Linked DNA regions of Canis lupus familiaris. The protein of the gene in region 1 interacts with the protein of each later gene in a pairwise test. Links are inferred from orthologs where the notes say so. Each region holds a gene or a part of one and is shown in the gene's direction. Other genes may lie near its edges.

What was found.
Region 2: the proteins of FATE1 (region 1) and SYNPR interact in binary tests that used the Homo sapiens proteins (3 or more experiments, as listed by UniProt). The link is inferred for Canis lupus familiaris from reciprocal best matches to the Homo sapiens genes FATE1 and SYNPR.
Region 3: the proteins of FATE1 (region 1) and BNIP3 interact in binary tests that used the Homo sapiens proteins (3 or more experiments, as listed by UniProt). The two-hybrid records come from large-scale screens. The link is inferred for Canis lupus familiaris from reciprocal best matches to the Homo sapiens genes FATE1 and BNIP3.

Annotation. Positions count from the first base shown.
Region 1 is NC_049260.1:120,980,362-120,984,412, forward strand, and holds the start of FATE1 (fetal and adult testis-expressed transcript protein), read left to right. Parts: upstream 1-1,242; 5' UTR 1,243-1,337; coding exon 1,338-1,443; intron 1,444-2,466; coding exon 2,467-2,594; intron 2,595-4,051. UniProt on the Homo sapiens protein: Involved in the regulation of endoplasmic reticulum (ER)-mitochondria coupling. Negatively regulates the ER-mitochondria distance and Ca(2+) transfer from ER to mitochondria possibly implicating it in the regulation of apoptosis.
Region 2 is NC_049241.1:28,047,158-28,051,456, reverse strand, and holds the start of SYNPR (synaptoporin), read left to right. Parts: upstream 1-1,491; 5' UTR 1,492-1,662; coding exon 1,663-1,680; intron 1,681-1,821; coding exon 1,822-1,887; intron 1,888-4,299. UniProt on the Homo sapiens protein: Intrinsic membrane protein of small synaptic vesicles. Probable vesicular channel protein.
Region 3 is NC_049249.1:40,552,840-40,556,805, reverse strand, and holds the start of BNIP3 (BCL2/adenovirus E1B 19 kDa protein-interacting protein 3), read left to right. Parts: upstream 1-1,158; 5' UTR 1,159-1,173; coding exon 1,174-1,285; intron 1,286-2,440; coding exon 2,441-2,591; intron 2,592-3,069; coding exon 3,070-3,154; intron 3,155-3,966. UniProt on the Homo sapiens protein: Apoptosis-inducing protein that can overcome BCL2 suppression. May play a role in repartitioning calcium between the two major intracellular calcium stores in association with BCL2.

The DNA of each region.
Region 1 (4,051 bases):
TTGTTGATTTTAGCCATTCTCACAGGGGTGAGGTGATACCTCATGGTGGTTTTGATTTGCATTTCCCTGATGATGAGTGATGCTGAGCATCTTTTCACATGTCTGTTGGCCATCTGTATGTCTTCTTTGGAAATAAGTCTATTCAGGTCCTCTGCCCCTTCTTAAATTGGATTTTTTTGTTTTTCTAGTGCTGACAGTTGTATCAGTTCTTTATATATTTTGCATTTTAACCCCTTCTCAGATACATCATTTGCCCATATCTTTTCCCATTCACTAGGTTGCCTTTCTGTTTTGTTGACAGGTTCCTTTACTGTGCCAAAGCTTTGTATTCTGATTTAGTCCCAGGAGTTTTTGTTTGCTTTTGTTTCCCGATGTTGCATTCTTGAGCAAAATTTCTTCTTCGCTGGAAAACCTCAGTCTTTGCTCTTCAGGCCTTTCAACTCATTAAATGAGGCCTATCCACATTATCAAGGATTAGTAATGTCTTTTACTTAAAGTCCACAGAGTGCAAATGTCAACCAAAGCTCCAAAATAACTTCATAGCAACACCTAGACTAGTGTTTGATGGAATAACTGGGAACTATAGGCTACCCAACGAACAGATAAACTTGACCCTCACAGTGGTCTAATCATTAGGGAAGCTGAGAGAGAATTTGGACTTAGACCAGGGACTGCAGGGCCTGCCTGGGGACAGTGGGCCCTCCAGTGGCTACAGGTAGATCCCTTCTTTCCTGCCCTTCCCTCCTTAGATTCTCATGGTTCCTGCTCAGACTGACCCAAGGCATTAAAAGGCCATCTCCCCTGGGAACTCTACATTGGGGGGAAACAAGATGTGCTCTGTAGAGGATGCCTCCTGAGGGGAGCTGTGGCCTGAAATACTTGCCAGAGCTGGGCTTGCAGAAGCCACAACAAGTTTGGGATCTAACCCTGTTCTGGCTACTGACTGGCTTTGGGGTCCTGTGCCAGTATCTACCTCTCTTTAGAAATGATGGAGAGTAGATCCCACTGGCCCCTCAATGGGGCCAAATCATGTGACCCGAGAGCCAGGGTAGTTCTCACAGGCAAAGTTTCTGAGATAAGTATCAGAAACTCCTCCTCCTAAGTTGCTTACAGAGTAGCAGGGGAGAAGACTGTGAACCAAGCCAATAAGATACAACAGGAACACAAGGTGCTGGGTCCAAGGCCTGAGTCCTGTGGGAGAGTGTGGCTCCACCCCCATGGCCAGATATATCTTCCTCGAGCTCCTGCCCCTGGAAGAGCAGACTTTCCAAGAGTCTGCTCTGTGCCCGGCTTCCTGTGTATCCTGGCTATAGCTTAATAGCTAAGCGCTAGCTGTGATGGCAGGAGGCCCCCCTACTATCAAGGAGGAGATGGAAACATCCATCGCTGAAGAGCTGGTTCCTGGAAACTATGGGAAAAGCCAGGAGCACCTGGTGATAGCAGGTGAGGAGCCCCTGTAATGTCCCTTTCCTTTGGGTGTCTGCACCCAGTCACATGTGTTGGAGAAGGTGTGTTCATGGCTGGGAAGAGTCATATATATGCAAGTATGTGTGGCTATGTGTGTGTCTGTGCCTTGGTGTGCGTATACCTGTATTTGTGCCTTGATGAACAGGAAGCTGGGGGGGAAAGGTATTGATGATGTGAGCATTTTGAAGCCTGTGAGAGAGTAGGATGGGATCCACATGTGTGGTCCTTATCTCCCCCTGTCCAAGCTACCACTGTGTTTATGGCAAAGTATCCAGAGCGCTCAATTTATAAGATCATTCAGACCAATTCTCTCTCCTTTTTAATGCCTTTTCCTCCTTTAGAGTAAAATCCAAACTCCTTTCCTTGATCTACAAGAGCCAGCCAATGCCACCTCCTCAATATATTTCATGCTGTGGTATGATGACCCACAGCACACTGCATTTATACTTGTCCTCATAAGACCCGAAGGCTGATTCTTCCTGATAGCCTTTGTGTTGACTGCTACCTCTGCCTGGGATGCTGTTTTCCTAGATTTTCCATGGCTGCCATCATTTTTGTCTTTCAGGTCTCTGCCTCACAGGTGTTTCTGGCTTTTCTAGAAGTAGCCCTTCCTTCCACCATGTTGCCCTGTTCTTATCATTTTGGGAGCATGTATCTCTTGATCTGAGTTAACACTGATAGATTATACCCATTTTGCACCCCTCACTTCAGCTAAGCACACATAGACAGTTGATTACTAGATTGCTGAGATCTTGTGTCTTGGTCATTGCTCTCCCTCCAGTAACCTAGCCCAGAGTTTGGCCCTCAAGAAATACTTACTAAACTTTTAAACAAATGAACAGACTGAGGCTTGGGATCTGCCAGGGGACAACAGTGAATGAATATTGAATGACTCCTAAGAAGTTTGGGTACCTTATCCTCTTTCTGGTGTGTCCTGTGTCCAGGAAGCCTTGGTATAGCCTCTATGGGTGTTTCTGGGGCCTCTCTTCTTTTGCCTAGAAATGATGGAGCATGGATCCCAGTCTGTGGGTGCTTCTCAGCGGCGACAGAAGGCGGATCCAAAGGCTGCTGGCTCTGCTGCAGGTCAATCGGGTTGGAATATGACTGGCAACCGGAGCAAGAAAGCGGTACTGTATGGAGTCCTTGGCATGCAGTGGCTAGGCTGGGGTTGGGACAACAGACTAAAGGGGCTCCAGCTTCATGACGGTAGGTTGAGCAGAGCCAGATGTTGACTTGGGGCCAAAGGAAAAAGCTTTTGTGTACCAGTGAGGCAATGAAGGCAGGGATGTCCTTTGAGAGGTCAGGGCCATCCTTTGGTAGGCTGGGAGCTCAACCTTGGGTTTCCAGAACACCGGATTCACATATTCCTTGGGGACTACATATACACTTTATTTTGCAAAACTCTATTGTGTGTGAAATGACACTTTCCTTTATAAATAAATAATTCTATATGTATATTTCCTTCCATATCTATATTATCTATATTATCTATATAAATTATAACTATATAAATTATTTAATTATCAACTAAATAATCAGCCTGGAATCATGAGAATCATTGATGAATAAAAGGAAGGAAGGATAGGAAAGAAAGAATCTGTCTGTAGCCATTGGAGGCCCCACTGTCCCCATACAGGTCCTACAGTCTCTGGTCTAAGTCCAAATTCTCCCTCAGCTTCCCTAATGATTAGATCACTATGAGGGTCAAGTTTACCTGTTTGTTGGGTAGCCTGTAGTTCCCAGTTATTCCATCAAACACTAGTCTAGGTGTTGCCATGAAGGCATTTTGGAATTTATTTTATTTTATTTTTATTTTTATTTTTTTAAAGATTTATTTATTTATTTATGATAGAGAGAGAAAGAGAGAGGCAGAGACACAGGAGGAGGGAGAAGCAGCTCCATGCACCGGGAGCCCGACGCCGGACTTGATCCCGGAACTCCAGGATCGCGCCCTGGGCCAAAGGCAGGCACTAAACCGCTGAGCCACCCAGGGATCCCCATCATTTTGGAATTTTAGTTAGCATCTACACTCTGTGGACTTTAAGTAAAAGACATTAGTAATCCTTGATACTGTAGATGGACCTCATCTACGCTATTAAATAGAAATATACATACATAAAACAATATGATTCTCAAGTCTGGAAAAAGATTAAGACAAGTTAGGTTCCTATGTTCCCTGGCTGTTAGGAAATCCAATCAATTGAATCTGACCATTATGTAGCCAATCCTTTAAAGTACCTTTAATGTGGGTTAAGAAAAGCTCTGGAAAACTGGCAGGTACACTGTTACAAAGGATACTGGGAAAAGGTGGTCATTTTGGAGAGGAGGGAGACCTGAGTGTTCTAGGGAATCCCGTGAGATCTCTCACTGTGTAGCCAATCCTTTAGGTTACATTCACTGCTAAGTGAGAAGAAGCTTTGGAAACATGGTTGCTATACTGTTGCAAAAGTTGCTGGAAAAAGAGAACCCAGTTGGAGAGGAGAGGGACCTGACTGTTGAAGGGAGTCATCTGAGTTTCAAGTTCTGTATCCAATCTGTTCCACACTTTCACTGTGAGGGAGGGAAAGCTTTAGAAAAATGGTTG
Region 2 (4,299 bases), on another chromosome or scaffold:
TGTCTCCCCTTAGCTAACTCCTAACTATTCATTTCCATCTTCATCCCCTGCTCTTAAATATTAGTCGCCCCCCACCACCACCACTCCACCCTCCACACACAACCTCCAAACCTTTTTGGCAGATCTTTGTAGTAAACAGATGGGGTATCTGTGTTGCTGGGAGACCACTTCATATGTGGAATCCAGTCCAAAGGGAGTGAGAAGGAAGGGGGCACACCAGCAACATGATTTAGTGGCTGAGCACCCTTCCTCATCTTCTCTTTTTCTGACACTTTGAAACCAGCTCGGGCTTCATTCTCTGTTAGCTCTTTAAACTAGAGCAGACCAACTTCGCCTCCATGACCCTCCATGTCCTCATCTCTAAAGTGAGAATAATAGCATACTAACCCACGGGGGTTATGTTGAATATGTGAACTAATGTTTATAAAGCTCTCAGCACAATTTCTGACCCACAGAAAGAACTCGATTGTTTTGCTGTTGTGATCTATCCTTTTCAGGAAGATTAGCAGAACGAGGGAGGTAAAAAAAAAAAAAAAAGAAAAAAAAAGTATGAGTTTGGCAGGCGAGGGCTCAGTACTATTTATGATGAATTCGGGGAGCTTCATTCGGGGGTTATTTGGCAAAGGATCTCAGCGGAAAAGCACGGAAAACTTCGTTTTTGACCTCTCATGAGCTGTGTGTTACCTTGGCCAATTCGGCCTCTGTGAAGTCTCTTTTCTTTTCTTTTTTTTTTTTTTTTAAAGATTTTATTTATTTATTCATGAGAGATACACAGAGAGAGGCAGAAGGAGAAGCAAGCTCCACGCAGGGAGCCCGACGCGGGACTCGATCCCGGGTCTCCAGGATCACACCCTGGGCCAAAGGCAGGCTCCAAACCGCTGAGCCACCCAGGGACCCCCTGAAGTCTCTTTCCTACCTTTAACGTGGGCACCAGAACTTGCTTCCTGACCTCCCGCAGTGGCCCCGAGAATGACCCCCTTGGGGCCCTGGACCACTTTCAAGATGACCGGGTCCCGCGCTCTCGCCGCGTCCGTGGGTCCCGCGGGTCCGCTGGTGCTGGGGAAGGCGCCGCGGCCCCGGGTTCTCGGATGCGCCCCCGCCCCGGCGCTGCCCCGCCGCACCCAGGGCGGCCCCCGACGCCAGCAGGCTTGCTTTGGTGTTCGGATGTCCCCGGACCTCACGCACGTCCCCAGGTAAGGGGCGGGTGCCCTTCTCTTACCTGCAACCCCTGCTTGCGCCCTGGAACCCCGCTGCCCACGCAGCCAGCCGGCTTTTCCCGCCCTCGGCCCCCCAAGTTTTCCCCGAGCCCGAGGGCGCGGGCGCGCGCTGCCGAGCCTGCCCGGAGCCCCGCGCTCGGCCTCGCCCGCCCCCCGCCCCCCGCCCCCGCGCCCCCCCGCTGCAGCTGGCCAATGGCAGCCCTCCCCGGGCGCTCCCCCTCCCGCCCCCTCCCCGCCCCCCCGCCGCCTCCGCTCGCAGCCCGGGCGCGCAGGCTTCGCGGAGCGCACCGCCAGCCGAGCATCAGCCAGCCCGCGCGGGCCCCGAGCTGCCCGGGCCTCGCCCCCCGGGCGCTGCCCGCCGCCGAGCTTCTGGCCTCGAGGACGACTCGGCGGCGCCCCCCGAACTTCATCCGGAGGGGAGAAGCGGTCAGCGCGCGCGCGAGCGATGGACCCCGTGAGTCAGGTAGGGCGGACCTGGTCTGGACAGGGCGGCGGGGGCTGGGGGCCCTGCGGCCCCGGGAGGCGGGAAGGGCCGCGGCCCCCTCCTCACTCCTCTCCTCTCCTCTCCTCTCTCCCTCTCTCTCTCGCTCTCGTCCGTCCAAAGCTGGCCTCCGCGGGCACGTTCCGGGCGCTCAAGGAGCCCCTTGCCTTCCTGCGAGCCCTGGAACTGGTGAGTGCGCGCGGCGGGCGGGGCGCGGAGCCAGGTGCGGAGAGGTCGGGAGGGCGCGCGGCGCTCGCGCAGTCCGGTCCTGGGCACCCCCCCCCCCCGGCGCTGGCGGGCACCGGCCGGGGGCACCGCGCTCGGCGGCGGCCGTGCAGACGGGCTTTTGCAAGCGCTCCGAGGTGTCATCTCCCCTCCCGCGGGCGCCCTCGCCGGGGCTGCTGCCTGGAGCCTCCCCGGGAGATGGGGAGGTGGGGAGCGCAGCAGATGGAGGGGCCGCCGCTGCGCTCCCGGCCTCACCTGCGCTTCTGCGGGGGGTCGGAGGTGGAGGGGAGGGTGGCTAAGGGGCGTGGATTGAAGGGACACTGTGAAGGCTGGGCCTTGCCTTGGCCAAGCTTGAAAGTTGCTCTTGGTGGGGACCGCTCCTTCGCCCGCCCGGCCCGGGACGCTGGAAGCGCTGCTGCGCTCAGTTGCCCTGCGGGAGCTCCGGCGAGGCGCCGCGAGGCTGTGAATGCGGTTGGTGGAGAGGGCAGGACGCCTTCCATCCCTGGTGTCATTCCTCTACCCCGGCCACTGCTCGAGGGCTCTCAGGATTTCCTCCAGAAGAACCTCCCCCCAGCTCCCAGCCTTCTTTGCTTAGCTCTCTTCAGCCACTGGGCTCTCCGAAATTTTGTTACTCCTCTGTTTTGTCCCCGTTCAACAACAACAACAACAACAGCAAACCACTCTGACAGTCCTATGGCAACCTATTGATAAGGAGTGAGGCACAGTAGCAGTCGTTCATTGAGCAGTGCTAGTGCTGTTGGCTTAGATGATGGTTATTCAGAGTGAAATCTGCAGATCGCACATTCCTCTCTTGCTAGGAGCTTTGAGGAGCAGCCGGACCCATCTGCACAGGGAAGTTCAAAGCCCGTCATGTAGCATTAATCACAGGCCCTACCACTGACTAGCTGGGAAATTATATAAGAGCGTGCTCTGGCCTCCCAGATCTCAGCTCTAAAGGGCTAATGTCTGGCTTTGGCTACACGACTTGTGGTGCATGATGATCCACAGGGTAAGCACTTTTGCCTTGTTTATGAGCCTGCGTAAAAATGCACGAATATATCAATTTGACACATGTCAAGACAACATTTGGAAGCCTTGCACCTTGTTCTGGGATGGTCATCCTAAAACAGGTTTCCTCACAGCCGGGTTAAACAAAGCAAGCAGTGCTCACAGTCCATGAAACTTCCGGTTGGCTTTCTCAGAATTCTGCCCACATTCATTCATTTAGCCATTCAGTAAACAATCCCTGTGGAAGAGCAGAGGTTTTTGATGAAAGTAATAGCTCCACTGCCAAACCATTGTCTCTCAAAACAAGATTCAAAGAGTTGACATCATTTTCTGATATCTTTTATTGTCTTAGGTTGTCACTTACCTGACACATTAATTTGTATTCTTTTCAGCCCTCTGACAACATCATGCCACTGCTCACCACACAGCCTCTACTGACATACTTCAAAGTAGTTAAGCCTGGATGAATTTGTTTAAAATGCAGACTTCTGGACATTAACTCAAAATATTGGGAAGGTGTATACCCAGGAATCTGCATTTTAAGCAAGCCCCCTAGATAACCTATCCACTTTAAGATTGGAGGACCACCACGATAAGCTATCCAGGTTCCCTCCAAAACTCAAGAGCCCTTTTAACCTTCACGCTCTTGCTATTTCTTTTCATACTCACGCCATAAGCCTAGAAAAAGTGTTTGTCTTTTAACTTCAGTTTAAATGTTACCTTCCTGAAGTTCTCTCTCACATTTGTTCCTTTCCCCTCTCTCTTCCCAAAATGGAATGATTCAGCCCATTCTTTGGGCTTCTATTACATTTTACTCATGAGAATTTATCACACTGCATTACAGTTGTTTTTTTCTTGATGTGTGTGTATGTGTGTGTGTGCGAGAGAGAACATTTATTACACCTAAAATATTTCTAGTCTTTTCCTTCTTCTAGGTCTCTGAGGTTCTAAGGTGGAAGAGCTTTTGCTTGCAAATCGGTGATTAGCTTCTCATTTATGGAAGAGAACCTGAATAAGGGATAAGGGACACACACACACACACACCCAAAAAACCAAACCCTTAAAAATTCATTTAAGTTAGTTGATCTACCTTTTAAAAGAGCTAAGGTAGAGAAATGAGAGAGGAGACAAGAAGGTTCATTACTGAGAATGTTTAATAAAGTGGAGAGAGAGAAGGAAAATGTGTTACGTGTATGCATTGGTGTGAGGAACCACTCTGAGGCATCTTTTCTGTAGAAAATGGTGACAATGAGAGAGTGATCTTTTAGATAGCAGGAAATTTGTTCTGTTTGTCTCTGTGTTCCCCACTAGTGCCTTCCATAGAGCTTGGTTAACAGTAAGTGATCAGGGATCCCTGGGTGGCGCAGC
Region 3 (3,966 bases), on another chromosome or scaffold:
TCTGGAGCTTTCATAATGAGGGCTCGGGGTTAGGGGGCAGCAGCCTGGAGGAAAGCCGTCAGACGCGCGGTCTCGGGGTGCCGGGGCGGGTGGCCCCGGAGTCCCCGCAGCTCCGCGGAGGCCCTGGCCTGTGCGCTGGTGACGAGCTTGTGCGCCCGGGCCCGCGTGAAGCGCTTGGGAAGTTGAAGGGGCAAGCCGTGCGGCTGGGAAGCCTGCGTGACATTTTGTTGGCTGACTGGGAGGCCGACGTAAGCTGGCTGGTGGGGCCTGTGCTTTGCTTTTTTTCTGATTAACGCGACGTGAGAATAAGGTACAGAGGGCAGGTGAGGATGCTCTGCAGAGACGTGCAGTCGGCGAGCCGGGAGGTTCCCGGGGTGGAGGGGGCGGCCCTGCGTGGGGCTCGGGCTGGGCGCCGCCGTGCCGCGGAGGGCCGTGTGCTTCCGTGTTGCTTGGGAGTGAGGCAGCTCGGCGTGACCGTCGCGGGACAGAGTGACTAGGGGCGCGGCTCCTAGGCTCTCGGGTACCGGCTGCCGTCTCCGCGGCCCGCCTTCGTCTGACAGGTACACGGCGCCGGAGACCCACAGACTGGAGCCACAGACAGACGGTCGGGCTCCGAGACAGACGTGTGCACGTTGCCAGGAAGCAGCACAGCAGAGGGTGCAGGGGCAGGCGGCTCGGGGCGCGGGAGCAGCCTCCCGGAGGGCCACACGCCCAGCGGGAAGCCGGGCTCGGTGAACCCAGGCCTGGTGGGGGGGTCCCCGCAGCACCGATCTCCGTGGCCTCAGCAGGAAGAGACTGAAACTTCGGATTAAAATCAAAGACTGTTGTTGCTCAGAACACGGCATTAGCTCTGTAAAGGCAAGGCCCAGGGAAGTCACCTGCGGCCTGTGCAGATGAAGAGCGGCTTGTGTCATGCACGTTGAGCTTCTACAGACCGCGGGATTTTTGAACAGCTTCTGTATGTCTTTTTCTTCTTTTCAGAGAGAGAGAGAGTGTGGAAGGGCAGAGGGGCAGAGGGCGCGAGCGTGCGCCTCCCTCTGAGCGGGAGCCCGATGTAGGGCTCCACCCAAGGGCCCCGAGAGCATGATCGGAGCCGGAACCAGGAGTCGGATGCTTGGCCAGCCGAGCCGCCCGGGAGCCCCCTGAACAGCTGATGTAAAAGCTGCTGTGCAAATGGCCCGTAAACATGACACGGTGGCCGGTTTCATGGGAGATCAGAGAGATGTAAAAGGAAGCACACAGGACACGGTCACAGAGACTGGTTGTGCCGAGTGTGAGGCTGCAGGTCTGATGTCTGGTGTCGTTGAGGGGGCTCACCTGGGTTCAGTGGGCAGGGCGGGCGTTTCCTGGTAACACGGGTGTGCACGTGCTCCTTGAGCCCAGCGCCCCGCTCCTGGGCTGACATGGGCGCGTGGACGCCGGGAAACACCAGCAGTTACGGGGCCCCCGGGGGCTCTGGCAGTGAGGGTCCGACTCCTGGATTCTGCTCAGGTCGTGAGGTCGCGCCCCAAGTCCGGGGCATCTGCCTGGCATTCTCCCCCAGCCCCGCTCCTCCTGCGCACGCGCGCTGTGCGTCTCTCTCAAATCTTAAACCCTAGCAGTCGCGGAGCAGGCCCCGTCCTGCGTGGACGGTCGTGGCGGAGCCAGAGGGTGTGTCTGTTCTCAGGTCCCCACAAGTGCTGCCGGCCCCGAGGTCCTGGGCTCTGCTGGGCTCCTGGCGGTCGGGGTCATCTGAGCCTCCCGGGGGGTGGCCAGGGGCCCGCTCCTGCGCCCCCCAGCAAGGCACCCATGCAGGCTGCCCTCCCCGCCCCGCCCTGTCCCAGGGCCCTGCAGCGGTGAGGGTGCCCTGGGCCGTGTTTATGTCAGCATGACGTCCAGGTGCGCTCGTGAGGACCCAGGCTGCTGAAGGCGACAGCCTCACTCGCGGGGGTGGTGGGTCGGGGGTGGTGGGTGTGAGCCTCTGTCTCGGTAAGTGGGTGATCGGAATCTGCAAAACGTGGGCAGCAGCAGCTCGGGGGGCTCTGGCTCCGGCTGGACTCGCTGGGGGACGGTCGGTGAGCAGCCCCCCTGGCTCTGCGGAGCTCGCGTGTCCGGCTTTTGGTGGAGGGGACCCAGAATCCAGTCGGGGTGGAGTTCTGTGGGGCCTCGGGATCAGCGTGTTTCTGGTGGGGAAAGAGATGGGAAAGAGATGATGTGAACCTTACAGACGTCAGTCTCTTCGGCTCTTGTGGACGTGAGGGCAAGACTGCACCGCGGTCAGCCGGCCTGCAGCGGCCCGTGGCTTCCCGGGTTAGCGCTTCTGGCCACCGGCTGGGGACCCGGCGCCGGGGCTGGCTGGGCGTGCGTCCCCACACCCCGGGTGGCAGGCGGGCTGCTCCTGTGCCAGCGGAGGCTCCGCGGTGGGCGGAAAACCCCCAGCATGGCCTTCCTGTCCCCTCAGGCTCCTGGGTAGAGCTGCACTTCAGCAACAATGGGAACGGGAGCAGCGTTCCAGCCTCCGCTTCTATTTATAACGGTGACCTGGAAAAAATACTGCTGGATGCCCAGCATGAATCTGGACGGAGTAGCTCCAAGAGTTCTCACTGTGACAGGTGGGCATACACACGCGCGTCTGTTCCGGTGCTGACATCACGGGGGACGAGCAGGGCCGGGTCCAGGAGTGGCCTCTGCCCTCCTGGTCTGTGGGCGGACCGCGGCAGAGCTGAGGGCCCCTGCCCCTGCCCCTGCCCCTGCCCCTGCCCCTGCCCCTGCCCCTGCATGTCCTGCCTGGCCCCCTGGCCACCGCGAGCTGCCGTGCGTCAGTGCTGCCAGTGACTCCCGGTGGCAGGGCTGAGTCAGAAATCAAAGGTCAGCTGCTCTCGGCTGTGCAGCGGGGCACAGAGCCAGTGCGGGAAGGCGGCCGTGGGGAGCCCCCACCCCCCACTCTGGCTGCCCGATGCCGGCCTAGCCCAGCTGAGGAGGGCGGGGGCTGGGGCCTGGTGCCGGTGCTCCTCCTCTCGGAGGCTTTGCCGGTCACGAAGGACAATGTTCATGTTCTGCGCCTTCTCCCGTTCTCCTGTCTCTGCGCAGCCCTCCGCGCTCACAGACCCCGCAGGATACGACCCGAGCTTCGGAAGTAGACACCCACAGCATCGGAGAGAAAAACAGCTCCCAGGTGGGCCGGGGTGCTCGTGCTCGCAGCACGCTGCGGGTTTCCAGTGACTGAGGAGACCAGCGTGTGCTGTAGGCAAAGGCTCTTGCCTTTTTTAAAGCCATGAGGTGGGGGCCTCCCGACACCCGAGCTGACCAGAGGAAGGGCCGGCCTCTGCTGCCCTGCCCTGCCGCCCGGGGACGCCCGGGGACGGTGGATGGCTTCTGCAGCCCAGACAGGGCCACGTGGCCAGTGGGAAGGGCACCTGGGTGCCCCTCGGTGGGTGTCTGTCGTGGTGGGGGGTGGGCTTTCGTGTGTCGGCTGCTCGGGGGAGCCTGGCGTGACCTGCACACTCGGGCTCTGCTGATGCGCTGGGACGCCGTCGTTGCTCAGACCCCGCCTCTGGCCGTGCTGACTGGGGCTGGCGCAGCTCCGTGCTAGGAGTGGAGGCCGCGGCCCCTGAGAACGGGGCCCCCAGTGCTGGGCTGCGACTGCGCCCCCCCGGGCCCTGGCCCCCAGGACTGCTGCACCTGCGAAGGAAATGTTTCCTTTGGCTGTTTTCAGTGATGATGAGAACATGAACAGTTGATGTCTTTTTCCATATTTATTTCAAAATTTCTGAGGAAGCAGGGTCTTGCAGTTGGTACCACTGAGACCCTTGATCCCTGGGGTCTCTCCTCTGGGCCTCCCGCTCACCTGGGCCCTCCTAGCACCCTCCCTGGTCCCCTGGGTGCCCTCGGGGTGCCCCCAGGGCCGCTGCTTGGTTTGCCTGCTGCATTCCAGAGTATTTCCAAAAACGGAAGCAGTGCTTTTTCTGATTTTCAAGAGGAATTGTA